7 linked regions of the Cricetulus griseus genome follow. The protein of the gene in region 6 purifies or fractionates together with the protein of the main gene of each other region. This does not show direct contact. Links are inferred from orthologs where the notes say so. Each region holds a gene or a part of one and is shown on either strand. Other genes may lie near its edges. The genes, in order: Exosc3, Exosc2, Exosc7, Zfc3h1, Exosc9, Mphosph6 and Exosc6.

Evidence for each region.
Region 1: the proteins of Mphosph6 (region 6) and Exosc3 purify together in Homo sapiens (affinity purification with mass spectrometry; 6 studies listed by BioGRID and IntAct, counting the BioPlex papers as one, with this or other methods). This does not show direct contact. The link is inferred for Cricetulus griseus from reciprocal best matches to the Homo sapiens genes MPHOSPH6 and EXOSC3.
Region 2: the proteins of Mphosph6 (region 6) and Exosc2 purify together in Homo sapiens (affinity purification with mass spectrometry; 8 studies listed by BioGRID and IntAct, with this or other methods). This does not show direct contact. The link is inferred for Cricetulus griseus from reciprocal best matches to the Homo sapiens genes MPHOSPH6 and EXOSC2.
Region 3: the proteins of Mphosph6 (region 6) and Exosc7 purify together in Homo sapiens (affinity purification with mass spectrometry; 4 studies listed by BioGRID and IntAct, counting the BioPlex papers as one, with this or other methods). This does not show direct contact. The link is inferred for Cricetulus griseus from reciprocal best matches to the Homo sapiens genes MPHOSPH6 and EXOSC7.
Region 4: the proteins of Mphosph6 (region 6) and Zfc3h1 purify together in Homo sapiens (affinity purification with mass spectrometry; 3 studies listed by BioGRID and IntAct, with this or other methods). This does not show direct contact. The link is inferred for Cricetulus griseus from reciprocal best matches to the Homo sapiens genes MPHOSPH6 and ZFC3H1.
Region 5: the proteins of Mphosph6 (region 6) and Exosc9 purify together in Homo sapiens (affinity purification with mass spectrometry; 5 studies listed by BioGRID and IntAct, with this or other methods). This does not show direct contact. The link is inferred for Cricetulus griseus from reciprocal best matches to the Homo sapiens genes MPHOSPH6 and EXOSC9.
Region 7: the proteins of Mphosph6 (region 6) and Exosc6 purify together in Homo sapiens (affinity purification with mass spectrometry; 3 studies listed by BioGRID and IntAct, with this or other methods). This does not show direct contact. The link is inferred for Cricetulus griseus from reciprocal best matches to the Homo sapiens genes MPHOSPH6 and EXOSC6.

The regions. Positions count from the first base shown.
Region 1 is NC_048595.1:98,138,479-98,142,616, reverse strand, and holds the start of Exosc3 (exosome complex component RRP40), read right to left. Parts: upstream 2,801-4,138; 5' UTR 2,792-2,800; coding exon 2,444-2,791; intron 1,888-2,443; coding exon 1,738-1,887; intron 1-1,737. UniProt on the Homo sapiens protein: Non-catalytic component of the RNA exosome complex which has 3'->5' exoribonuclease activity and participates in a multitude of cellular RNA processing and degradation events.
Region 2 is NC_048599.1:143,396,339-143,399,838, reverse strand, and holds part of Exosc2 (exosome complex component RRP4), read right to left. Parts: intron 1,580-3,500; coding exon 1,534-1,579; intron 1,417-1,533; coding exon 1,327-1,416; intron 304-1,326; coding exon 238-303; intron 1-237. UniProt on the Homo sapiens protein: Non-catalytic component of the RNA exosome complex which has 3'->5' exoribonuclease activity and participates in a multitude of cellular RNA processing and degradation events.
Region 3 is NC_048597.1:230,059,014-230,062,513, reverse strand, and holds part of Exosc7 (exosome complex component RRP42), read right to left. Parts: intron 1,323-3,500; coding exon 1,199-1,322; intron 75-1,198; coding exon 1-74. UniProt on the Homo sapiens protein: Non-catalytic component of the RNA exosome complex which has 3'->5' exoribonuclease activity and participates in a multitude of cellular RNA processing and degradation events.
Region 4 is NW_023276806.1:140,750,033-140,754,221, forward strand, and holds the start of Zfc3h1 (zinc finger C3H1 domain-containing protein), read right to left. Parts: upstream 2,801-4,189; 5' UTR 2,717-2,800; coding exon 2,068-2,716; intron 1-2,067. Other genes in the region: transmembrane protein 19, read left to right, coding at 3,623-3,693. UniProt on the Homo sapiens protein: Subunit of the trimeric poly(A) tail exosome targeting (PAXT) complex, a complex that directs a subset of long and polyadenylated poly(A) RNAs for exosomal degradation. The RNA exosome is fundamental for the degradation of RNA in eukaryotic nuclei.
Region 5 is NW_023276806.1:113,107,304-113,110,803, forward strand, and holds part of Exosc9 (exosome complex component RRP45), read right to left. Parts: intron 3,350-3,500; coding exon 3,267-3,349; intron 2,181-3,266; coding exon 2,048-2,180; intron 935-2,047; coding exon 846-934; intron 1-845. UniProt on the Homo sapiens protein: Non-catalytic component of the RNA exosome complex which has 3'->5' exoribonuclease activity and participates in a multitude of cellular RNA processing and degradation events.
Region 6 is NC_048596.1:194,432,457-194,436,550, forward strand, and holds the start of Mphosph6 (M-phase phosphoprotein 6), read right to left. Parts: upstream 2,801-4,094; 5' UTR 2,694-2,800; coding exon 2,643-2,693; intron 1-2,642. UniProt on the Homo sapiens protein: RNA-binding protein that associates with the RNA exosome complex. Involved in the 3'-processing of the 7S pre-RNA to the mature 5.8S rRNA and play a role in recruiting the RNA exosome complex to pre-rRNA; this function may include C1D.
Region 7 is NC_048596.1:187,461,890-187,464,954, forward strand, and holds Exosc6 (exosome complex component MTR3), read left to right. Parts: upstream 1-1,246; 5' UTR 1,247-1,322; coding exon 1,323-2,141; 3' UTR 2,142-2,565; downstream 2,566-3,065. Other genes in the region: Aars1 (alanine--tRNA ligase, cytoplasmic), read left to right, coding at 1-8. UniProt on the Homo sapiens protein: Non-catalytic component of the RNA exosome complex which has 3'->5' exoribonuclease activity and participates in a multitude of cellular RNA processing and degradation events.

The sequences.
Region 1 (4,138 bases), on a different chromosome or scaffold from region 6:
TATAAGACAGAAAAGCAGAAAAGTTCCCTTCATCCAGAAATCCTTTTTTTTTTTTTTTTTTTTTTGGTTTTTTGAGACAGGGTTTCTCTGTGGCTTTGGAGGCTGTCCTGGAACTAGATCTTGTAGACCAGGCTGGTCTCGAACTCAGAGATCTGCCTGCTGCTGCCTCCCAAGTGCTGGGATAAAAGGTGTGCACCAGTACCATCCAGCTCTAGATTTAAAATGTTACAAAACTGAACTTTAAAATGATGAAGCTGAGGAAACAGAATGAATTTCAACATTAAAAATCCCCACTGTTGAGAGCTGGAGAGATGGCTCACGGGTTAAGAGTACTTGATGCTCTTGCAAAGGACCCAGGTTTGGTTCCTAGCACCCTCCTAGCAACTCACAACCATTCATAACTTAAGTTTCAGGGGACCCGACCTTCCTGCCTGACCTCCACAAGCATCAGTCATATAGAGGGCAAATACATACATAGAGCCAAAACACCCTCGATATGCATACATTAATAATATTTAAGTACCCACCATTTTGGGTGACTACAAAACTTAGAGGGAATGAATCATAAGACACTTTATGCCTTTCAAGAACATGTGATCTTCTACAGGGCAACAAGAATGAATAAACTCATGACAAGTTCAAGAATAAATCCAGTACCATGGTAAAGATACAGGAAAAGTGATGATGATGAATGACTTTACATAGTCGTGCTTAGCCTGGATCTCAATGGATGGATGTCTGTCTCATAGGCTGAGAGACTGCAATCCAGACAGAAGAGCACCATTACTAAAGACCCAAAGGAACCAAGTTCAGTGGTGTTGTGAAACTTAAGCATATTAGCATGAAGTGCTAATATGAGGGAAGACCCCTGGGGCACAATGCCAATGAATTCTCTATGATTTGAACATTTTTTTTCCTGTTAAGAAATGGAATATGGGAGCTGGAGAGATAGCTCAGTGGTTAAGAGCACTGGTTGCTCTTCTAGAGGACCTGGGTTCAATTCCCAGCAACCACATAGTGGCTCAAAACCATCTATAGTGGGATCTGATGCTGTGTTCTGGCATAAAGTCAATAGAGCATTCACATATACTTAAATCTTTTTTTAAAAAAATCCACACATATAAAACCTTTAAAAAGGGAATGTCAACATGAGGATATTAACAGATGGAAGCTGGAATGTTAATGAGATTGCTGCCCAGTTTTGTCAAAAATGAGCAAATGCTTGAACTCATAGACACAAAGGGATAAGGCATGCAAAAGACAAGAGATGGAACAAATAAGATCAAATGACTCAAGACCTGTGAGAGTTGAAAGAAAAGTAGCACAGATGCCATCAAATTTCTGGCTCACATGTATCCTCAGGAAGGATACAGCTAAACCAACCAGAAATCCTGTAGTAACAAGATCACTCTTCTGTCAGCTCCAAGGATTCAGAGCCAAGATGAAGAGATAGATGACTGACAGTACCAGTGTCCCTTAGACTAGGGACACTTTCCTTGTGATATGGATATGAACCTCACAGGTAACAAGGGGAAGCAAACATAACCCTTCAACCTGGGAGAGAAGAACCAAGAACACAGCACTGGTTCTGGAGCTGCAGCGCCTAAGGAACTATCTTGGAGAATCTGAAGGATAGTTTATGCTTTGGAGACAAATCAGGAAGTCCTCTGGGCAGCTAAATTTCTGGGGAGTGGCTATTTTTGCCTTATTGTTGAAACCAAAGGCTCCCATCATTACCTGCACATTCGGTCTGTTTCTTTTAGTTGCTCCTTCAAATGCCAGGTAAGACAAAGAAGCTGGCTCACTCCCTCCAACATCAACTTTGAATATATCTCCAGATTTAGCAATCACTATGCCAATCACGTGGTCTCCTTTCACGGGTACGTACTGCAAAACATAATGAAAGAACAACCATAAAAGACTACTGTAACATATATGCAGTAAGTTTTAGCAAGGTTGCTCAGGATGGGTCTCAAACAATCCTCCCAACTCATATTCCTCAGGTAGCTGGGACTACAAAACCGGGCCGCACCAATCCAACTTTGTTGTCTCTAATCCGTAGTTGACCTGAGTCAGGTTTCATACTTCAGCATCTTTTATACATCCGGCGGCACAAGAATCCTTACAGTCAAGGAAACCCACCCATTAGACACTTCTACATGAAAGCTCTTACTCTACGAATAATTTAACTCCCTGTTATTTAGACTCACTGAAACTGGGACTCCACATGGCACGCCTGCGGCTTCCTACTTTCTAGCCCCTTTCTCCTTTCTCCCTTCTCAAGCTGTGTTTCTACTGTGGTTCCTCTAAAGAAGATGCAGAGGGGACCTAGAAGCCACCGCGGCTCTAGGCTGAGCTCATCCTCTCCTCCCCGCTGCAGGGAGTCTTCCCAGAACTGGGATTCCACTATCGCAGCAGCACGGCCTCTCCAACGTCCGCTCACCCGCTTCTGTTGAGAATCCACCCAGTAAACGCCACCGCCGCCTCCTCCGGGCTCCTTGTGGCGCAGGCGGCCACACTTGGTGACCAGCAGGCGGTCCCCGCAGCGTCGTAAACCCGGGCCACACACGACGCGCAGCCGCGGGCGCGCCCCCGAATTCAGACGTAAAGGCTGCTCCCCGGCGCCGCCAAGGCCGTCTACGTCCTCGTGCTCCGGCAGCACCAGCTCCTCCCCAGGGAGAACCACCTGATTCAGCACGTTGTGCGCTACCCGCGCCCGGCAGCCGGCCACCGATTCTTTCCCAACCGACAGTACTTCAGCCATAGCAGGAGTCGTCGCAGCTTCCGGCATTTTACTTCCGCTTCCGCATCCAAGAGCCCGCCCTCCAGGGTTATCCCTTTCCGGTTTTTGTGGGCTTTCTGAAATAGACTTCAGACCGCCAACCAGTCACATCCTCTCTTCGGTACCCCCTCCTCCCCACCCCCAAACACCCGTATCTGAGCTATCAGCCCACCCACCCTGTGGTTTCTCCGCGGGTGGGTGAAAGAGACGCCCAGCTGGAGTTCATTTGGAGCCCTCACATCCCGTGTCAGGTCTTTCGGCTTAGTCTCTACGGGTGCTGGAACTAAGGGCCCCTGGGTATTGGGTTTGGAGGCTTTACTTTCCATTCAGCCTACAGAAAGGTGGCTGAAATTTTAACTGGGAAAAAAGGGTTTGCAAAGTATGACTTGTTTGGACGTTGCTACCAATTTAAATTCTGTAAAATATAAAGAATGGGAGAACAACAATAGGGGCTGGAGAGATGACTTCATGGTTTAGGAGCACTGGCTGTTCTTCCACAGGACCCAGCACCCACAAGGCAGCTCACAGCTGCCTGTAACCCCAGTTCCAGGGGATCTAACACCCTCACACCGATACACATGCAGACAAAATACCAATGCATATGAAATAAAAATCAATTATTAAAAAGAAAGAACAACGGAAGTCTTACTCATTTGTCTCCTTTGCTGTGTTTTCAGCTGTAGTTCCTATCATTTGTACATAATAGATGTAACACTTATGTGTATTACACTCTAGGGCTCCCCCCCCGCCACCCCCACTCCACCCCCGCGCGCAACACATATCACACCTTTTCACCTACTTGAGTTATCTCTACATGGCTTAGGAAAATCAGTAACTCAGAACAATTCTTGCCCCTATTTCTTTTGGAGCACACCAATTGAAGGAAAGCCCGAATGGGGGGGCAGGGGGCTCTCTCCTGGACCGGATTAGAAGCACACACTCCTCAAACACCTATTTCACAGAGAGATCCTTTATTAATCAGGGAAGAAAAATTAAAGTGGCTGCTTTCTGACTCGGGCAGAAAAACAGCAAGTAACTTTGAAGGTGTAGTTTTTAAAAAAAAAAAAAAAAAAAGATTTTATCTATTATGTATACAACATTCTGCTTCCATGTATATCTGCACACCAGAAGAGGGCACCAGATCTCATAACGGATGGTTGTGAGCCACCATGTGGTTGCTGGGAATTGAACTCAGGACCTCTGGAAGAACAGTCAGTACTCTTAACCTCTGAGCCATCTCTCCAGCCTGAAGGTGTAGTTTTTAAGAAGGGAAAAAAGAGGTCTGCATCAAAATAGACTAGGATGCTAGCATATATTTAGATTGGGCATGTTAATTAGGTGAACCAAAGGGGGATT
Region 2 (3,500 bases), on a different chromosome or scaffold from region 6:
CTGAGACAGCAGTGCTGTGTTTGAGGTTAGCCTGGTACACAGTGAGTTCCAAGCCAGCCTGGGCTATCCTTAAAAAGAAAGACAATTGTGTCTAGCTTGCACCATGGGTCACAAGTTACAAAACCCAGAGTACTGTTCTGAGCTAAGGAGAAAGAGCAAAGCTTCAGCCAAGCCCTGGACATATGACCCAGAATTCAGACCCCTCTGGTCAGCTGGCAGCCCTGTAAGTCAGGATACACTGATGAGGTCTCCTTCCTGTAAGAAGCCTCTCATGGCCAGCTCATCCTCTGCAGATCTTCTCCTCTGAAACACACGGAAAAATGACCACATGACACAAGCCTCACTTTCAGGAGGAGCTCTTTCCATCCCTGCTTTTTGCTTGAGGTCTGTGTAGCCCACCATGGTATTTTAACATAAAGAACTATGACAAGAGGTAACCTCAACTGCTGGAGAACAAGGGAGGTGATACTAGCTCTCCAAGAGGGACCCTCCTAGGCTAACATCCAGACCCTCTACAGGTCACTGAGCCTGTTTCCCCACTTACCCTCACTTCCACCAGGCTGTGTGTCTGCTCACGTATCTCCCTTCATCTGAGTCCCAACCTCACTCCAACTCTCAGACCCCCAAGGGCCCTCCTATGAAACAACCCCTCTCTGCTCTCCATGTTTCTTTCTTTTCCTGCCTCCCCATGTGGTTCAGCTATCTCCTATCCTCCACCAATCTATAAGTTCTTTAAGGGACTCAGATGTGCCTTATTTATTCTGACACTCTCCATAGGATCCAGCTCACTGTCTAGAATAACCATGTGCATTCAAGTCACTGAAAACTAAGGATAAGTGGGGCTTAGTGGCACATGACTTTAATCCCAGCACTTGACAGGCAGAGGCAGGCAGATCTCTGTGAGTTAAAGGCCAGCCTGGTCTACAGAGTGAGTTCCAGGACAGCCAGGGTTACACAGAGAAACCCCGTCTGAACACCAACCTCCTGCCCACCCTCAAGAAAAGAAAAGAAAGCAAAGGCCAACATTTCACAGACACCTTCCCTGTGTAACCCACAAGAATGCCAACCCACCAAGAAAGGAAATTAGCACCAAGATTCAGGAGCCCCTCTCCCCAGCTCCATCTTGGGAGCCCACTCCACATGTGTTTCTGGTCTTACCAAACACTAGTTGCTGCCTATGTCAGGTGACCAGAGCCAGGAGAAAAAGCCTATGTTCACCAAGCTAGCAGACCCCATGACAAAACATTAACAGTGTAAACCGAGTTCTATGGTGGAACAAAAGCCCCACAGCTCAACTGGACAGTTCTAGGGCAGACAAGCACTCACCAGCTCCCCTCCGGGCAGGTTCATGGATGAGAGGAGCAAGACAGAATCCAGCCTGGAATTTGTCTCTACTTTCCACCTCTTCTGTTGAACCTGTAAGGAAAGAGTAAGGCAGCATCTCAGGGCACCTTCTTCATACAGCATTTCACAGAATGAAGGTCCCATCCCTGAGCCACCAGCCTCCTTCACTTTGTAAAACAGCAACTTTACCTCCGTGATTCTCCCCACTACAATGTCTCCTACTTCTCCATTGTATCTGCAAGAGAAAGCAGAAGGTTACCCAGTAGCCAGCAGGCTGACCAGACCAAGCACTATTTGAGGCTGAGTAAACAGATGGGACTTCAGAATCCCTGTGTATATACTTCATTCGTTTTCCTTAAAGAAACTGCTGCCGGGCATTGGTGGCTCACACCTTTAATCCCAACACTTGGGAGGCAGAGGCAGGCGGATCTCTGTGAGTTCAAGGGCAGCCTGGTCTCCAGAGCGAGTGCCAGGATAGGCTCCAAAGCTACACAGAGAAACCTTGTCTCGAAAAAACCAAAAGAAAAAAGAAAAAAAGAAATTACTCATTGCAAATCATTCCTTTAGACTGCAGTCCTAACTTTGCTTGATTATGTGACAAAAACACAAAGTACTTGCTTCTGAATAGGGGTGGGACAAGTTTATCACCACGCAATGGAGGGAAGGAGACACTGAAACACACTACCATCCATGGGGGCTCGAGCTGCCCTCTCCTCGATGCCTGCCTGGCTCAGGCACTTTGCTGGTCCCTCACCCTGATTCTGAGGATGAAGTGCTCTTTGCTAAAAGCCCAGGCATTAGAATAGGTCTCTTTCTACTCAAGCTCCCTCACAGTGAGCTCACCGAGTTTTAGTGGTGAGAGGCAGGGGCTCGTCCATACTCCCGGCTCTTGGGAGAGAGCGTCATGAAGCTATCCAGTATCAGTAGCCACACAAATGGCTCGTGAACACTTCTAAAAGTAACTAACCCAAAACAAAGACTGCCGGCATCGGCTTCCCCTTCTCCACAGCAAACCACTCTCCCATTGATGCCAGGTCAGTAAGTGCTTGCACACACACACACACACACACACACACACACACACACACACACACACACACACACACACACACACACACACACACACACACACACACACACACACACACACACACACACACACACACACACACACACACACACACACACACACACACACACACACACACACACACACACACACACACACACACACACACACCACACACACACACACACACACACACACACACACACACACACACACACACACACACACACACACACACACACACACACACACACACACACACACACACACACACACACACACACACACACACACACACACACACACACAACACACACACACACACACACACACACACACACACACACACACACACACACACACACACACACACACACACACACACCACACACACACACACACACACACACACACACACACACACACACACACACACACACACACACACACACACACACACACACACACACACACACACACACACACACACACACACACACACACACACACACACACACACACACACACACACACACACACACACACACACACACACACACACACACACACACACACACACACACACACACACACACACACACACACACACACACACACACACACACACACACACACACACACACACACACACACACACACACACACACACACACACACACACACACACACACACACACACACACACACACACACACACACACACACACACACACACACACACACACACACACACACACACACACACACACACACACACACACACACACACACACACACACACACACACACACACACACACACACACACACACACACACACACACACACACACACACACACACACACACACACACACACACACACACACACACACACACACACACACACACACACACACACACACACACACACACACACACACACACACACACACACACACACACACACACACACACACACACACACACACACACACACACACACACACACACACACACACACACACACACACACACACACACACACACACACACACACACACACACACACACACACACACACACACA
Region 3 (3,500 bases), on a different chromosome or scaffold from region 6:
ACTGACACTAGCAAGCTGGCCAAGGAGCAGGCCTCCTCCTGAAGTGTGGCATCCACCACATGCCGGCAGCCAATCTGCAAGATCAGGGCTGTTTAACATACATGTGAACAGTAGACCAGAGATCCCAGATCCCCCTGACACAAGCCTACAAAGGCTGTACATGCATGGCTCGTTCCAGATCTTATTTTAAATTCTGCTTGTTTGGAAAATGCTGGAAGGAATGTTCAACATTGTTAATATGGTCCATTGTGTGAATAATATAATAAAAAGACAAAATGTCAACAAGCAGTTTGGGGGCAGAGAGTCCACCAGGACAGAGACCACCAGGCTTTCCCACAGGGAACACAGGCAGGAAATGCATATGTGAGGCCCCACGGCTTCTTGTTCACTCCAACAGTGAATCCAGAAAGCCCAGCTAAGGGACATACAAAATAATGCCACCCTCCAGAGCTCTGTTTAGTCCCAACGCCCTGTGAACATTTCTTTACAATCTCAGTTCTCAAAAAACTTCCAGTGGTATTAAGTGACTGAAATGTGTGATTTTGGTTTTGTTTTGTTTTGAAACAAGGTCTTTGTTGTGCAGCTATGCTGACGAGGTACTTGATATATAGGCTAGGCTGGTCTCAAGCTTGCAGTAGTCCTACTGTCCCCACCTACTGAGTTCTGGAATTATAGACATGAGCCACTGCACCTGGCTCAGCTTCATTTTTATATAACGAGTCTCTTGTGGAATTAGTCACAATCCCAGCCAACACAAGCCTGAGGCTATGCCAGATGTCAGAGTCAGAAAACCTCTGGGCTCCGTGCAAACTATACTTGGCATGTGTCACCTAGGACTGGCCCCAAGCCCTCAGTTCCTGTATGTGGACATCAGGGTCCATAGAGGAATACTGTTTGAGAACCTACCGGTGTTCAGCTACCTTGGACTCTGGAGTACAGGGAGTTAATGGAAAATGAGCAGTGCAATAGAGTGCAGAGCCTGCAGAGGGACCATGACAGCCAGACTGCTAATGAAGCAGCCTTCCCTTGGGACTCGTCTGTACCTAATGGAACCGAATGATGAGATGTGGGTTAAAGCTACATTTGTAGGGTTTGCACAACTACAGCCTCTCAGCTTATGAAGTAATCTCAAGAGCCTAGGGTTGGAAGAGATCCGCCTCCCCACGGAAGGCAAGAATGCTAAGAGACAAGCTCACACCTTGCACAGGGTGACGATGCAGGGCACATTCTCTACACTCAAGCGGATACAGTCGTAAGGATCGTCAGACAGCTCGATGTCCTTTGCCCCCTCTTCATCCTCCAGAACACGAACCCGTGGTATCCTGGGAACAGAGGCATGATTGAAATTTCCATCTCCTGGAAGGAGGAACCATAACCTTTTTTGAGATCAGGAACCGAAATTCTTTTTTGTTTGTTTGTTTTTGTTTTTGTTTTTTCGAGACAGGGGTTCTCTGTGTAGCTTTGGAGGCTGTCCTGGAACTAGCTCTGTAGACCAGGCTGGCCTCAAACTCACAGAGATCCACCCACCTCTGCCTCCCGAGTGCTGGGATTAAAGGCGTGCGCCACCAACACCCAGCGAAATTCTTTTTTTATAAGCAGGAATTTCGTTAACTCCACCTTGTTTACATCCTCGCTACCTGTCAAAAGTTGAGGCTAGAGCTTCTGTGTCAGGGACTCAGAGTGCTAAGTGTGACATCCTCAGAGTGCTCATTGTGACATCCTCAGAGTGCTCTAAGTGTGACATCCTCAGAGTGCTCTAAGTGTGACATTCTCAGAGTGCTCTAAGTGTGACATCCTCAGAGTGCTAAGCGTGACATCCTCAGAGTGCTCAGTGTGACATCCTCAGAGTGCTCATTGTGACATCCTCAGAGTGCTCATTGTGACATCCTCAGAGTGCTCAGTGTGACATCCTCAGAGTGCTCATTGTGACATCCTCAGAGTGCTCAGTGTGACATCCTCAGAGTGCTCTAAGTGTGACATCCTCAGAGTGCTCTAAGTGTGACATCCTCAGAGTGCTCAGTGTGACATCCTCAGAGTGCTCATTGTGACATCCTCAGAGTGCTCATTGTAACATCCTCAGAGTGCTCATTGTGACATCCTCAGAGTGCTCAGTGTGACATCCTCAGAGTGCTCATTGTGACATCCTCAGAGTGCTCAGTGTGACATCCTCAGAGTGCTCTAAGTGTGACATCCTCAGAGTGCTCTAAGTGTGACATCCTCAGAGTGCTCATTGTGACATCCTCAGAGTGCTCATTGTGACATCCTCAGAGTGCTCATTGTGACATCCTCAGAGTGCTAAGTGTGACATCCTCAGAGTGCTCATTGTGACATCCTCAGAGTGCTTATTGTGACATCCTTAGTGTGCTCAGTGTGACATCCTCAGAGTGCTAAGTGTGACATCCTCAGAGTGCTCATTGTGACATCCTCAGAGTGCTCTAAGTGTGACATCCTCAGAGTGCTCTAAGTGTGACATCCTCAGAGTGCTCTAAGTGTGACATCCTCAGAGTGCTCATTGTGACATCCTCAGAGTGCTCATTGTGACATCCTCAGAGTGCTCATTGTGACATCCTCAGAGTGCTAAGTGTGACATCCTCAGAGTGCTCATTGTGACATCCTCAGAGTGCTCTAAGTGTGACATCCTCAGAGTGCTCTAAGTGTGACATCCTCAGAGTGCTCTAAGTGTGACATCCTCAGAGTGCTCATTGTGACATCCTCAGAGTGCTCATTGTGACATCCTCAGAGTGCTCATTGTGACATCCTCAGAGTGCTCAGTGTGACATCCTCAGAGTGCTCAGTGTGACATCCTCAGAGTGCTCATTGTGACATCTTCAGAGTGCTTATTGTGACATCCTTAGTGTGCTCAGTGTGACATCCTCAGAGTGCTAAGTGTGACATCCTCAGAGTGCTCAGTGTGACATCCTCAGAGTACTAAGTGTGACATCCTCCTTGAAGTGGGCAGTAAGCAGTGTGAAACAGGACTGATATGCCAAAATAGACGTCTGTATATTTACACACACACACACACACACACACACACACACACACACACACACACGGGGGGGGGGGGAGTAAGAGGAAGGTGGCTGAGAGAGAGAGAGAGAGAGAGAGAGAGAGAGAGAGAGAGAGAGAGAGAGAGAGAGAAAGAGAGAGAACTTTTAATTTCTTAATTCTTTGGGCCCAACATAGGCAGAGGATTGGGGAAGACAGAGTGGCATCAACTCTTCTGGAGGACTTCAATGTACAAAGTTCTTTCTATCTTCTATCCAAGGGCATCATGGGGTCACTGTTCCTTGCTGCCTGAGAGTGAGACTGATAGCTGTTCGTGATCTGGGTAGCTAGGTTTCACAAGCTGACATCCATTTTCTCAGGACTCCCTCACAGCAAAACAGCTTCCCCAACTCCCTGGCACCCATGCGAACCAGCTAGCCAAGAAGACTCATCTCAGAGGCTAAGCCACTTCTGATGACAACCTTCTTTCCCATTTCCACAAAGCCTGGCTG
Region 4 (4,189 bases), on a different chromosome or scaffold from region 6:
GATACTAAAGGACTATGGATAGGGCTTGGTATTACAAGTTTTATTTGCTCCCATTATGTTTTCCTTCTCCAATTCTTACTAAGAACACTATCTCTAGGGTAGTGTACTGATATTTCATGAGAACAATAATGCAGACAAGCAAACCAAGCACCTTGGTTTTTGTTGTTGTTTTGTGTGTGTGTGTGTGTGTGTGTGTGTGTGTGTGTGTGTGTGTGTGTGTGTGTGTGTGTGTGTGTGTGTGTGTGTGTGTGTGTGTGTGTGTGTGTGTTTTGAGACAGGGTTTCTCTGTGTGGCTTTGGGGGCTATCCTGGCATTCGATCTGGAGACCAGGCTGGCCTCGAACTCACAGAGATCCGCCTGCCTCTGCCTCCCGAACACTGCATGCGCCACCAACGACCAGTTTTTGCATCTTGTTCTTAAACTGCAGTATCTGAAACACAATCAATGTGACAGCTGATTTCTGATAACCACTGGATATTTACCTACATGCTCTTCCATAAGTACATAAAAATGTCAGTATATGGCATACCCTATACAGTATGGAACAAACAGGAAAATGGGGAGGAAGGAGGCAGGTAAGCCTGTCATCTTTGAATTGCCACTGTGCTTTTGTCCTCAATTTGATGTTTTATTAAACTCTATTTTCATTTGTTTCTCCAACACAAGTTACACATTTCATCTACATAACCTTAAAAAACATGTTTATGTATTTAAACATCCTTTGTTTTTGAATTCGGAAAACAAAAGGCCATGGTGTTCCATATAATCATGGGCAAAGGGTTTCTAATCTTTGTGAGAAAACCTCCACTGTTTTAAAAGGTTATCTACCTGTCATTTTCCCCCATAACAATCTTGAGATGCTTCCAAACCAATTATAGGTGATAGAAGGATAAGCTTTGCCAGGACACAGGAACCAAAACCTGTTATTTCTTTAAATATCCCTTCCCCATTAACATCATGACATCTAGAAAAAGCCAATATCGCTCAAAGTGCTTCATAAAAATAATTTTGAGTAGCTTCCAATTAAGTGTCATATGTGAACCTCATAGAAAATATATTAAACCACCATTGCATCATGGGAATTACAGCTAGTAATAAAAGTGCTTAGTAAACTATGTTAAACAATTTGTACAAGTCGGGATGTATAAACCCATCGCAAAACACAAACGCTTTGGACGATTAATTTCTGAAAATAAATCCTGAGTAAACTTGGTAATGTTAAAGATAACCAATAATAAGGCTAGAGGGGGCAAAAGTTAGGAAACTGGCTGTTTTTCTTTCCCACTGGTCCATACTCTACACATCCCGCTCAGAAACACAATACAATAAAAGTGCTGATGAGTTTATCTTCCTCTATCTGAATGTTGGCAGCACCAAGAATTACAAAGCCCCAAAGCGAACATAAGGAAAGTGAACTTAATGCATAGCATTAAGCATAGTTTGGAACTTAGCTTTCCAAACTAAGTATGGATGGACTTAAAAGATCTGAATTACTAAAACTGGTTAAAAAATAAGTAAATAGACAGATAATTAAAGGGTCTACACACACACACTTCCAAAGGCAGTAATGAGAACGGATAACTACGAGAGCAAGAAAAAAATTCACAAGGACGGTAAAATTACAGAGGAAAACTTGACGAATCCTAATGCCAGGGTGTGATATTAAGCAACAAGGTTCCTCGAGACGTTTATGAGTCCTTCTTTTCTCTAATAATCTAAGCGAATTGCCCATAAAATACGAAACTCCGGTGCTAGCAAAAAAAAAAAAAAAAAAAAAAAAAAAAAAAGCAAAGTACTAATGAAACCTGGGCGGCTGGTGCGTACCGTTGGTTTCTCTAGCTGACCCCGAATCCATGGCACACTCATGAGTTCGAGAGCGGTCCAATCCAACACAACAATCTAAGAAAACAGCGGTGGAGTGCGTGGCACTCGACAACTGCTGGCGCACCGAGAGACAAATAGGTGGTTCCGAAAAGTTAGGACTCGGGGATGGGGGGAACCTAGTCGTGGCGCTAACGGGAGCTCCGTTAGCGACACACCCAGGGCAGACCGCCACGTTAAGGATACAGCTCTTGCGAGGTGGAGAGGGCTCTCGCCAACTCTGACTACTGCTGCTGCTGCCGCCGCCGCCGCCGCCGCCGAATCCGGATCCCGCTCCTCCTCCTCCTCCTCCTCCTCCTCCTCCCGGAGGAGGTCTGCACCCCGGCTTGCCTCCTCGCTCGCCCACTCCTCGCCCCCGACTCCACCGACTCCCACCCCGGTAAGGCCTGCCTCGAAAGCGGAAACGGTCCAGGGCGATGTGGCTCCGCTCCCAGAACGACGGCCGGGGGCTGCTTTCCGACAGGGAGCCCGAAGGCATCCGCACCGGGGGCGGGTGAGTCCGGAACGGTTCTTTGGGTCGGTAGCTGCTGTGTCCCCTGAGGTGGCCCCGCTCCGACGGGTGCCGCGAGCGTGAGAAATTCCTCAGCGGCTGCTGAGAAGAGGACGACGACGACGACGAGCCGCCGCCTCCCCCGGATCCGCCGCCGCGGGGCGGGTGAGGAGGCCGCCGCCGCGGGTACGGCAACAGCCCGCCGCCGCTACTGCTGGTGCTGCTGCTCCGGCTCCGGATCTGGCTGTTGTTGTCGTCGTCGCTGATCTCCCCATCCTCGAGCTCCCCTTCCTCCTTCGGGGAGAGGCCGCTAGAGGCCGGGGTCGAAGGATCAGCGGTCGCCATCCGGGGAGCGGCGCCGGTCACACCACCTTAGCCCTCCGTCCGGGGACCCCCGCCCGCCGCCCGACCTCCGCCCGCCCGTCCGCTGCCTGCCGGCTGCCTTCCCCTGCCTCCTCTCCCCTGAGTCCTAACGGGCCCGGCAGGCGCGGCCTTCCCGTGCTCGGACGCCTGGCAGGCTCTGCTCCCCAACTTCCCCGCACCCCAGATCGCTCTCTCGCCGGACCGTCGCTCAGCCAGTACCCTCTCCTAGCGCCCCCTTGCTGCTCTTCCGCCTCGCGAGAAAGGAGCCGTGGAGGAGGAGGAGGTGGAGGTGGAGGAGGAGGCCGAGTCCCGGTCGTCATTTCCGGCGGCACGCCGGAAGGAGGCGACTTCCGAGTCTCGCGATATAAAGGAAGCGCGACCGGGCGCGAGGCTCGCTGGGATTTGTAGTCCGCTCTCGCGCAAGGCTTCGCCCTTGATCCCGGCGGACCTAACTGTCCCCAGCTGGCATCATGCCGGCTGAGATGGCCCGGTCGGTGTCCGGGTAGCGGGCCTGCGTTTCAGAGTCACTCATTGGTGGGGAAGACACCTGCCATCTCTTCCTTGCTCCGGCGCCCTTATCTGAGACGCAGTGTACCTCCCTGTCTTTGGGACCCCGGGCCGGGGGGAGGGGAGCGGGGGAGCGGGTGTGGCCGCCATGTTGGTGAAGGCGAGCGTGTGCGCCGGGAGCCGCAGGACCGTTGGCTAGTGCGAGCCGGACCCCGCCATGTTAATAAAGAGGCCGGGGAGTGGGCGCTCCCTCCCGCCCGTGTAGCGTGCACGCCCCTCTTCCTCGTGTCGCCGGCCTCCTCGTTTGTCTGGCGTGGTGACAGCGGCTGTAGCGGGCTGCGGTGGCGTCAGGGAGCGCCGCCGAATGAGGGGCCGGGGGAGATGCCGACCAATTGCGCCGCGGCGGGCTGTGCTGCCACCTACAACAAGCACATTAACGTCAGCTTCCACAGGTAACCCGGGCGAGGGAGCGGGGGTGACGCAGACGGGCAGCCGAGGCACGAGGCGACTCGGGACCCGAGCCCGGCTGCTAAGAATAGCCGGGTGGAGCGGGGGGGGGGGGGTGCCTGGGGTCCCTTTGTGTGTGGCTTCGCGCCCCTGGAGACCTTTTTGGTGCCTCTTCCCCCCCCCCCCCCACCGAGGAAAGTTGACACCTGCCTGGCGAAAAGAAACGCGGGTTCTTGTGAGCCGTAACCCTCGCATTAAAGAGTGACGAGCGTGCCTTTACCGTCTGCTCCTCTGTTGTTGTTCTGTGTTTAATATCTTAGACCATGCCTTGACACGAGTGACACCCTAAGGGAATGAGCATTTCCCCGTTCAAGTCAACACATCCCCGAAAAAAAAAAACCCTGCGGTGCTCGAGTTTTAAAATTAGGAAATTCTCGCTGGCCGAATTGACCAGCGTGGGAAAAACGTTTTGTGATAGGGCACACACTGGGACTGCGGAGG
Region 5 (3,500 bases), on a different chromosome or scaffold from region 6:
ACTAGCCTATCTGTGGAGGAGTTAATTGTTAATTGATGAACCAAGGGCTCAGCCTTCTATGAAGGGCACCATTCCCTGGGCAGGTGGTCCTGTCCATATCAGAAATGTAGTTAAGCATGAGCCTGTGAGCCAGCAATCAGCCTTCCTCTGGTTTCTGCTGTACTCCCTCAGCTCTGAGTTAGTTCCCTGATTACAGGTATATGAACTATCAAGGAGGCCTACCTGCCTCCAGGTTCCTGGTGAATGTGATCTAGAAGTACAAGCCAAATAAATCCTTTCCTCCCTTAAGTTGCTTTTGGTGTGTGTTTTTATCACAGCACCAGAAATCAAACTAGGATATACTACCATAGTTATCAAGACAGATGTCACCATAATTACTGAACCTCTGCTGCATATGTGATAGGTACCTGAAGTACATTCCTTAAGCTTCAAGTCTGCTATCAAGACAGACGGCACCAGCCTCCACAGGACAAGTTAAGTACACTGAAGTACTAGATACTTATTGCTGGAGGTAACAAGAAGAGGAGCTATGAACCAGCCTTTTTATTCCTTCTATTAATTTGAGTTATTAGGTTCTTTTTTATAAGAACATGTTAACTTTTAAAGAAAACACTTCTATGACTTTTTAAAATAAAATCTCAACTAAGTACTAGTATATACAACTGAGATTAGCTAAGTAAAGACCAAGTATGAAACTATATGGCTGCTCTTGTGTGAAAAAGCCCTACTATATACACAACTGAGATTAACTAAGTAAAGACAAAGTATGAAATTATACCGCTGGCCTTAAAATCCCTTAGAAACACACATTTAAAGAGCACATAGTTCTGAGAAATTAAACTTACCGAACTTTCTGGTCATTTTCCAAAGCTTTCTGTATTAGATCTGTAATTTCTGCTACTTTCACACCAGCTATTTTACTGCATCTCAAAACCTGTTTGTAAATTTGAGCTGTTAAAGACAACAAACTAAATGGCTTTTTCTAATGAAACCAAAACCATGACATGAATATTCTACCTTTACAATTTAAGCATTTCTTTTCCAAATGTGAAATTAAGGTACAGTAAGTAGCTAAGACAAAATATGAGAATCACTTATTTTGAAGGTCTAGCACATTAAAGGAACAGACTTGAGAACTTACTTATGAAACAGTTAAGCTACCAGAGATGACAAATGAAATGCTCAGGCTTCCTTTCTGTGCCAGTAATCCACAGAAACAGAAATCTATAGTGGTTGCAATCCTAGCACCATAGGTAGCAGTCACCGAGCACTCTGTGTTCCAGAGACCTATAATCTGCCTACACATTTACCCTCCAATCCCTTCTATGGTGCCAGCAATAGAATTATCCCCTAATGTACAGGAGAAGGCACAGAGACCCAGAAGTAAGTCATTTGCAGAAAGGCTATAAAGATCAATTAAAACTGGAACTAAAACTGCTCCATGCACATAGTTAATGCTCACAATGCTACATGGCACTCTGTTTTCTAATTGCCTCTGTGTGGATCTGGTATGTGGCTGGGTTTGAGTATCACTCACTGCTGGTTGTATTCACATTCCAAAACTAAAACTTAGCTTTCTCTTAGTGTATACATTTAATACTTTAAAAAGTAGTAATGAGTCTTTCTTCACTGAAGGAACTAAGGTATTCCTCCAGGCAGATCTAGAAGGACAAATACAGGGAGGGGCAAGGAAAGAAAGGATAACCATGTCTACCTGTTAGAATGTAATACCTGAACTGAAACCAGATTCTAATATGACTAGACTTACTAAAGTGCCCTGTGGCTTTTAGTTAAAAGATAACATTAAGCCAGGCAGTGGTGGCACAGGCTTTTAATCCTAGCACTGGAGGCAGAGGCAGGGGAATCTCTGTGAGTTTGAGGCCAGTCTGGTCTACAGAGTTCCAGGACAGCCAGGGTTGTTACACAGAGAAACTCTGTCTCAAAAAACAAAACAAACAAACAAACAAACAAGGATAATTCTAAAACGAAGTAACAATAAATCTTCAGAAGAGAGACCTCTTAGAGGGAAGCTAGTCAAAGCACTAACCTGGTCTTTGAGCAGCATTATCCCACCACTAGACTGAATAGTACAAATTTCTCGATGCTTATTCATGGCAATCACCAGCAAGCCATCCATTACTCGTTCTTCTCGTTCATTGGGGTCCACCAATAAGTATGTTCTGAAACAAACGTTAAATGGTCCTGAACATATCTGAAGCTGAGTGCTGTTTCTAGAGTGGGTTTGTTAAAGTTAACATCCAAAGTCAGTACTTCAGCATTGAAGGAGCTGAGTCACTAACTCAATGATTTCAATTATGTGGCCATTACAATAAAGCCACACTAGGTTCAGACTGAAATTCAAATGACATATAACCCAATACTCACACCATCTCTTTGATAAAATGATTTCTGGCTCATTAATAAAGACATAACATTAATTTGGTTCATTTCCAAGTAGCACCAAGGCCCTGTGCTCTTAAGTTCTAGAACCTGTAGATGGCACAGAAAAGGGCTGCCTGTTTCTGCAGTGTCTTCTGCTGGCAGACACACATGGGCACTGAGCTCGACTCCAACCATGGGTATAAAATACTTAGTACAAACAGAAGAATGTAAAATCTTGAATAATTTTGAAAATTCTGGTATATAATAAAATGAAATATTTTATATCTATAAGGTTAACAAAGATATAAAAAATTTAATTTGTCTTTATTTTGTTTTCATTAAGGACCCTACTATATTTCTGAGTTTTGTCTAGAGTTTGCTATGGAGCTCAGGCTGGCCTGAAAGCCACTGAGGTTTTCCTGTCTCTGCCTCCCCAATTTCTGGTTTTCACACTTGCTATGTTTCTCTTGTCTTTTAATGTGACTACTGGAAAATTTTAAGTTACTTTTATGGCATATACATTTTACTTTACTAGATAATGCTGGTCCATTTTCCTGATATTGAATTAGCTTCGATGACTAAAAAATCCTTACAAAGTCAGGAAGAAACCAACAGATGCTCTAACATTAAGGTGTATCAGAACAGAGCAATAAAGATCCTGAGCTGGAAGAGTGTTACACACAGCATTCACAAAGCCCTGAGTTCAACTCCTAGCGCCACAGAAACCAGGTATGAAAGTACATACCTGTAATGCCAACACACAGGAAGTGGTGGCTGGAGGATCAGAAGCTCACGGTCATCGTGAGATATGAGACTGTTTCAGTAAACAGAATCCAATTCCTGGGAATATTTACATTTTCAGCCCAAGACAAGGCGACACTTACCCTTGCTGGAAGAAAGCAAAACTGATACAGATGGGCATGTGGTGGATGCTCAGTGGCACAGGGTCCCGCTCTTCAGGAGTGTACTGTTTCAGAAGAAAAGGCCAAATGCTTACAGACAGCATATGAGAGAAATACAAAAGCACTTTGAGACCAAACACTAAGAAATGAATTTCTTAATTTGAGTAGCTAAATAATGTATTTTATAATTACTTACGACTTTGGCAACTGTGTCCC
Region 6 (4,094 bases):
ACATACAAGAATATGAATGAATATATATATGACTGGAGAGATGGTTTAGTGGTTAAGAGTACTGGTTGCTTTTCCAGGGGAGACAGGCTGGACTCCTAGCACCTACATTGGGGCTCACATCCCTCTGTAACTCTAGTTCAAGGGGACCTGACAACCTATTCTGGCCTCCTTGGGTACCAGGCACTCAGGTGGTACAGACATACATGTAGGCAAAATGCTCATACACATAAAATAATTTTAAAATTTTAATTAAAAAGTACTGAAGACAAGTGAGTCAGGAATAAATGTCCAATGCTCTCATGCTTGCCTTATTAGTTCTACCTGAATGGCCCTAAGCACCTCTGTTCCACGCCTTCTCCTAGTACACTGCTGTAGTTGTGCATAATACCTCCTGTCCCACCAGCAAGGTTGTTGTCAATACAGCTGCTAAGACAAACAAAACATGGGTAATGCTCTCCCACACACTTGTCATGTCCAGTTGGATCTTGTTCACTTGGGTGAGGGGAAATAATTGCTTTAATTATTTTCGAGCTCAGAGGCAGATCTTTAGTGTCCACCCTGTATGCTTAGCACAGGCTCATTTGGTTTACTCCAAGAGCTAAGACTACTCAGTGCTTCCTAGATCCGCTCTAATTCTCTGCAATCAGCATGATTACAAACTGCTTAAACTGGTAAAGACTCAAACTTTGCTCACACACAGAAAGAAGTACTTGCCAAACTAAATTAGGGGCAACTTGCCCTCCCTCCATCCTCATTCTGTTCACTCCCAGCTGCAGTACAACTCAACTGCATTCAAAGCTTCCAGGGAAAGTTTACTCCCTGACCCTCAACACAGGACTCATTCATTCCTTATTTCCTTTTCTTGGAAACGCCACTGCTCTCACTGACAGCCCACGCCTTAAAAAGGTTTAGATTAATGAACCACCTTTAAGATGGTGGGAATCTAATACCACACACCAGAAACAGTACTTTAGATTCTGACCTTTTCCTGTGCTAGCCATATGTAACAGGGGACTCCACTGTGGTGGGGGCAATGGGGCACCACTCCCAGAAAGCCACATCATCCTAGGGGTAAATGACAGAAACTCTACAGTGTACTGTGTGGCTAACCTACACCGTTTCATAGGCAGGGCAGCTGCCCGTGTTAAATAATCTTTATAATACTGTTGAGTGAGACGTTTAAGTCAAGTGCCACCTGTGCGTTCAGTGACAGGTGGTAGAGACTACAGCAAAGACTCTGGGGCCAGATGATCAGTCTTTTTAGCTGTTACTTCCTGTTTCAGATACCTCAGGTGTCAATGGAGATAATGACTGTGGCTACTTCAAATGTTCCCATGTGGATTAAGTGGTTTATTATATATGAAACAAGAACAATGTCTGGATATAGGAAGGATAATAAATATGTTCTATTACTATTATGTAAGTCCTAAGATTTAGCTTCCCCCCCATCTTAATTAATGTGACTTTAACCTCACTCTCCTTTTCAGACTGTAGTTAAGTTCATTCAGGTTTCTGTTGTTGTCGTCTTTTTGACACTTTGAGACAGGGTCTCTAGTCTGGTCCAAGCTGGCCACAGACTTGCTAAGCAGCTGACAGTATTGGGGTTACAAATGGGTACCACCAAGCCACTACTGCTGGTTCAAATTGGTTCAATTTCAAATTTAAAAATCATGTGGCTGGATAGTTGGCTCAGTGGCTAAGACTTCTGGCTCTTGCAGAGAGGTCTCAGTAACCACACCTAGCAGCTTACAACTCCAGTTTCAGGGGTTCCAACACTTTCTTCTGGCTTTCATAGACACCTGAACACACATGGTGTATATTATAGGCATACATAAAGAAAAATAAGCATAAACCTTTTAAAATTTTGATTTTGTTTAAAAGCTGATGGACAATTCGTTCCACCCCACTTAAAATTTTCTTCATTCCAACCACAATGACAACCTTCATCCAGAGCACAGGACCTTTTAGCTGGTCTTTCTGCCTGTAAGTTTATGTGTTGTGGGGTTGGGCTTCTCTCTCATTAATTATTATCCACAGTACAGTTCTCGTAGCTTTGATAGGTAACAACTCATGAGACTGTTCCCGGGCTCAACACTTTCCTTACTGCTCATGAGATAACGGGGAACAAAACTTCAGTCTGGATCACAAAGTTCCTAGTGACCACTAATTTTTACAGACTAGTTTTATGCCCCTTGCCTTTCAGACGTCCCAGCTGCCTTTTGTTCTTGCAAACGTCTGTAATTTTCTTTTCTCCCTCTCAGACTTATGAACTCACTTACCCTGGTTCAGGACACTACCTGAGATCCTTTCACGTGGTTTCTTTTTAAGGACCATTTCTCGCGAGACGCCTAAGTTCCCAGGCGGCCCTAACACTTCGGCAGTCGCTGCAGGTTCTTACGTTCGTGCAAGCTCAGTCCCCACAACGGGCTTCGGGCTTGAGGCGAGTCTGCCTCATCATAATCTCACCCCAGGTGCCCAATGGCCGGTAGGCTGAACGAATGAATGGATGGATACGCGGGCCGCGGCCATCCGGGGCCAATCTGGGGTGCAGTCTGCCCGTTTCGCCTCGGCCCGAGTCACTTCGGGACATCTCGGGGCTCAGCTGCCCCATCCGACACCCCAGCAACCCCCAACCCCCGCACCTTCATGCGCAGCAGGTTCTTGGATAACTTAGTCTTGCGTTCAGACGCCATGTTGGGTACTTTTCCAGCGGCTCCGGAGCCACGGCGCTTGCGCACTGTCAAGCGCTGAGCGTGACGTGGCACTAAACGTGCCCCTCCTCTCGCCACGTCGCCGTCTCTCGCCGCAGCTCTTAGCCCCGCCTCAGCCTTTGCCCCACCCCCTATTGGCCACACCCTGCCGCGTTGCCCCACCCCAGCACCCGGTCTTGCCCCGCCCACGTTCCGAGTGCTCAATGGTTGCTTTAGCTTTTCTCGCTCGGCTCCTATGGGAGCGCGTCTCTCCCCAAGACGCTGTGGTAAGAACTCGGGCTGCCGCGGGAGGCGGGCGGGGGTTTACCTCAGGAAGGCAGATTAACCGGAGGCCGCTGGAGCTGTGGGCGGGGCCTCCGGGCCGCCGCGACTCCAGGGGACCCCTGAGCGCCCCGTCTGTAGGGCCCTTGCTGATAAGCCGCTGAGGTTGCTGCCAGAGTTTAAAAGTTTTAAAAACATTACTGGTTTGCTCCCTAGGTAGCTCGTTCTCTAGAACTCCCTGCAGGAGGTGGCCACAAACCCAGTGTTGGGAGTGACGATGCCCCGTTGCACCGCTGCACACAAAACTGGTAAATATACATACACCTGTTTGCTGTGCATCTTTGAGCCTGGAGAATTTCCCTTTTAAACAGGAAGAAAAACAGGAGCTAGCAGGAGCTGCACGCGAGGAAAGGCGACAAAGAACTTGTGAAGGGGCCAGGGATGGTTTAGTGGGTGAAGACATTTGCTGCCAAGCCTGAGGACTTGAGTTTGATCCCTGGGATCCACGTGATGGAAGGACGGAAGTTGTCCTTTGACTTCACACATGCTCACACCTCACAACAAATGCAATTAAATTATTAAGAATAAAAAACCCTTGAGGCCTATATTAAGGCAAACAGTTGTAAATGCAGTAGTAGCTTTAGTACTTTTCCGTTTAGTGCTCACTGCACCCCCTGAAGACTTTTCCCCAGGCCATTCTCAGGTTCCACACTTCAGGAAGACACTGAGTAACATTTAGCAATTTGCATGCAGTGGACGTCATTTTTTGAACTGGGTGCTGTACCTTGTGAGAACACTGAAGAACACATCATTGTCGTGTATTAAGCAACCTGCTGGAGAGGTGGTAAAACTGAGATTCATAAAGCATTCCGGATATTAAAAGCCCTGAAGGTTTTCCCAGTGGAGTAAATAAAGACATAATGTGTTAAGTGGTTACAGAAACACATTTACTCATAACTGGGAGTGAGACATTGCAGAGTACCAAGTGGTTAAAAACACATTACCACCTTTTCTTGGAGCTGGCATTGTGTGCATTAAAAAGTAGTAAGTACTCCAGAAGAAAGAAAACTATTGTGGTGAGTGACTTTTAGGGTCACTTTAAATTTAGTCCAGGATGGTCCT
Region 7 (3,065 bases), about 7.0 Mb from region 6:
AGAACTGACAGGAGAGAAGCCCTCACTGGGAAGCGTTTCCCCATCAAACAAATGTGTCAGAATGCAGGAGTGCACCCAGGAGCTCCCCTGCCATGAAGACATTTGAGTCTTGGGACCTTTCAGTCGCCCTATCCGTCCTAATCCAGCAGTAACTGGAACATACCTGGAGCTGTCCTGTGACTTATTGCCCCTTTCCGTTACTGCTCTGAGCCATACTGTCAGCACCATCTGTCTAGAATCACTACCCCAGGAATGCTGTTGAACATCACCGTGATCATGTCTAGATAAGACCACTCTGCCGACCTGAGGCTTCTAGGTCATCTGCAGGTAGGAAGCCTTTTTGTTGCAGAAAATAAAAAGGACCATGTGCAATACTTGATAAATGCATTCTACTTTTTCTCCCCGGGGTGGACCCTGACTCCCTGTATGTCTGCAGAATACAGGCTGCAGTTCCAGCTAGTTTCTGATTGAAATGATCACAGAATACATCCCTAGACCCCTGAACTTTAGGAGTGGCCCCTGGGATGGCAGAGACATAATGGAAGGGCTGAATTGAGGCATTCAATAGAGTGGGGAAGGTTTCTACAGAAATTCTCAAGTGGAAAAACACCTTTCTCAGTCTCTTGGGACAACCTCTTAATGCCTTGGACCATGTATGTCTCATCTCTACCTCCTTTTGAAGTTGCTGATATGAGGTCAGAAAACTAATATAGGAAGTATAAGCATGGAGGTGTCTGTCTCCCAGTAACTGTCCTATCTGTGTTTCTTAACCTAAAGTAGTTCAAGCCTGGCCCAGCCTAAAATGTAATTAGTCTGAGTCTACAAACAGCAGAGTCTGGAAGCAGTAGTGTGTGGGAGGTAGAGATGTTGCCTGCTCATGCCAGTTCCTCAGGGTGTTAGAAATGTACATATATGCGTGCGTGCGTGCGTGCGTGCGTGCGTGCGTGCGTGTGTGTGTCTGTGTACACACAGTATAGGAAGAGAAATTTCCATCAGTTTATTAAACAAGTGTTGAAGCCAGCTGGGGGACTGAGTACAGGAGTGAACAAAAAGCCCTGATGTTGTGCAAGTTTATGTAAAAAAAGAAAGTGTAAATGCAAAATTCAAGAAATAACCTTAACAGGTTAAGAGTCATTAAGATCAGGCCAGGTCACAGCGCGGGCCAAGTCCAGCTGTACCTCCTCCACACCTCTAGGTGGCAGTGCATCCACCTACCGCTCTCCCGACAGGCTGCGCGCGGGCGCGCCTGTTTTAAGTAAGCGGAAGAGCCGGTGCGCAAGGTAGCCCAGCAGGCGGAAGTGGCTCGTGCGCCGGTAGCCGCCATGCCGGGAGACCACCGTCGTATCCGCGGGCCGGAGGAGTCTCAGCCGCCGCAGCTGTACGCGGCCGACGAAGACGAGCTGCCTGCTGCCCGCGACCCGACGCGGCTACGGCCGGTGTACGCGCGCGCCGGGCTGCTGAGCCAGGCCAAGGGCTCGGCCTACCTGGAGGCCGGAGGCACCAAGGTGCTTTGCGCCGTGTCGGGCCCGCGCCAGGCCGAGGGCGGCGAGCGCGGCGGCGGCCCTGCGGGAGCGGGCGGCGAGGCTCCGGCCGCCCTCCGTGGCCGCCTGCTCTGTGACTTCCGCCGCGCGCCCTTCTCCGGCCCCCGGCGTCGCGCCCCCCAGGGCGGCGGCGAGGAGCGCGAGCTGAGTCTGGCGCTGCAGGAGGCTCTGGAGCCCGCGGTGCGCCTGGGGCGCTACCCTCGCGCCCAGCTCGAGGTGTCCGCGCTGCTGCTGGAGGACGGCGGCTCTGCGCTGGCCGCGGCTCTCACGGCCGCGGCGCTCGCCCTGGCCGACGCGGGAGTGGAGATGTATGATTTGGTAGTGGGCTGCGGCCTGAGCCTCGCACCGGGACCCTCGCCCACTTGGCTGCTGGACCCCACGCGGCTCGAGGAGGAGCACTCCGCAGCCGGCCTCACGGTGGCGCTCATGCCGGTGCTCAATCAGGTGGCCGGGTTGCTGGGCAGCGGGGAAGGCGGCCAGACTGAGAGTTGGACGGACGCGGTGCGCCTGGGCCTGGAAGGCTGCCAGCGCCTCTACCCAGTGCTGCAGCAGTGCTTGGTGCGAGCTGCCCGCCGGAGGGGCGCCGCCGCCCCGTCCTGATTGGAAAACCCGAGCAACAAGGATGCGGATGACTGCTGATGTCCTTCTTTCCCAAACGGCCCGGCTGCTGGTCGCCTGCCTTGGCCGAGCTGAGAAACGAGAGTGGGAGGCAGCGCGCACTGAACCGAAGCGCTGGACAGCTGTGTTGGAACGGTTTAAAGGGCCTTAGCAGCCTTACTCCCAAGTTGGAAAGGACTTCGGCTGGATTACCTGGTAAATGAGCTGTGTTCTTGTAAGGGATGGACCCTGTGCAGGCCAGCCATTGGCTCCAGTGTATGATAAACTGCTTCTTTTGAGAGGATGGACAAGGGACTTTGCCTTCTCACTACCCGAACTAAAACATAAAAACCTTTTTTATACCTGAAAATACATCTTGTGGCTTTTCTTGGTACTACAGTTAGAAACAATGCCGTTTTGAACTGGGCATGTGTTGAGTCTGTATTGCCAGTATTGACTGTATTGTCAGTACTATCTTAAATTTTCCTGTCTCTTAGCTCACTGTAAGTGAAAAGGAGTAACGTGCTTTAGAGGAGAAACCTCCTGCCCTAGGAGCAGTGTCTGAGGTGAAAAGACCGAGGAGATGTCAGAACAGCCAGAGCTACACAGAGAAACCCTGTCTCCGACAAAACGACAGGAGAGTTAAATAGCCTCAGAAATCTGGGTGCACACCTATCCTCTCCTTTGAAGCACAAGATCATGTCTAGGAGTTGGGTAACTGGAAAGGATTATGCTCTAGAAAGAAGCCCTGTCACTCCCTTCTTTGGCCAGTAGGGTAGCATAACTGGAGGTTTCCATGACTTTGCAGAAGTGATAGTGCAGACCTTTAAAACCCAGCACTGGTGGGGCAGAGGCAGGTGGATCTCTGAGTTCTAGGGCAGCCAGAGCTACATAGAGAAACCCTGTTGCAAAAAAGGAAAAAAGAAA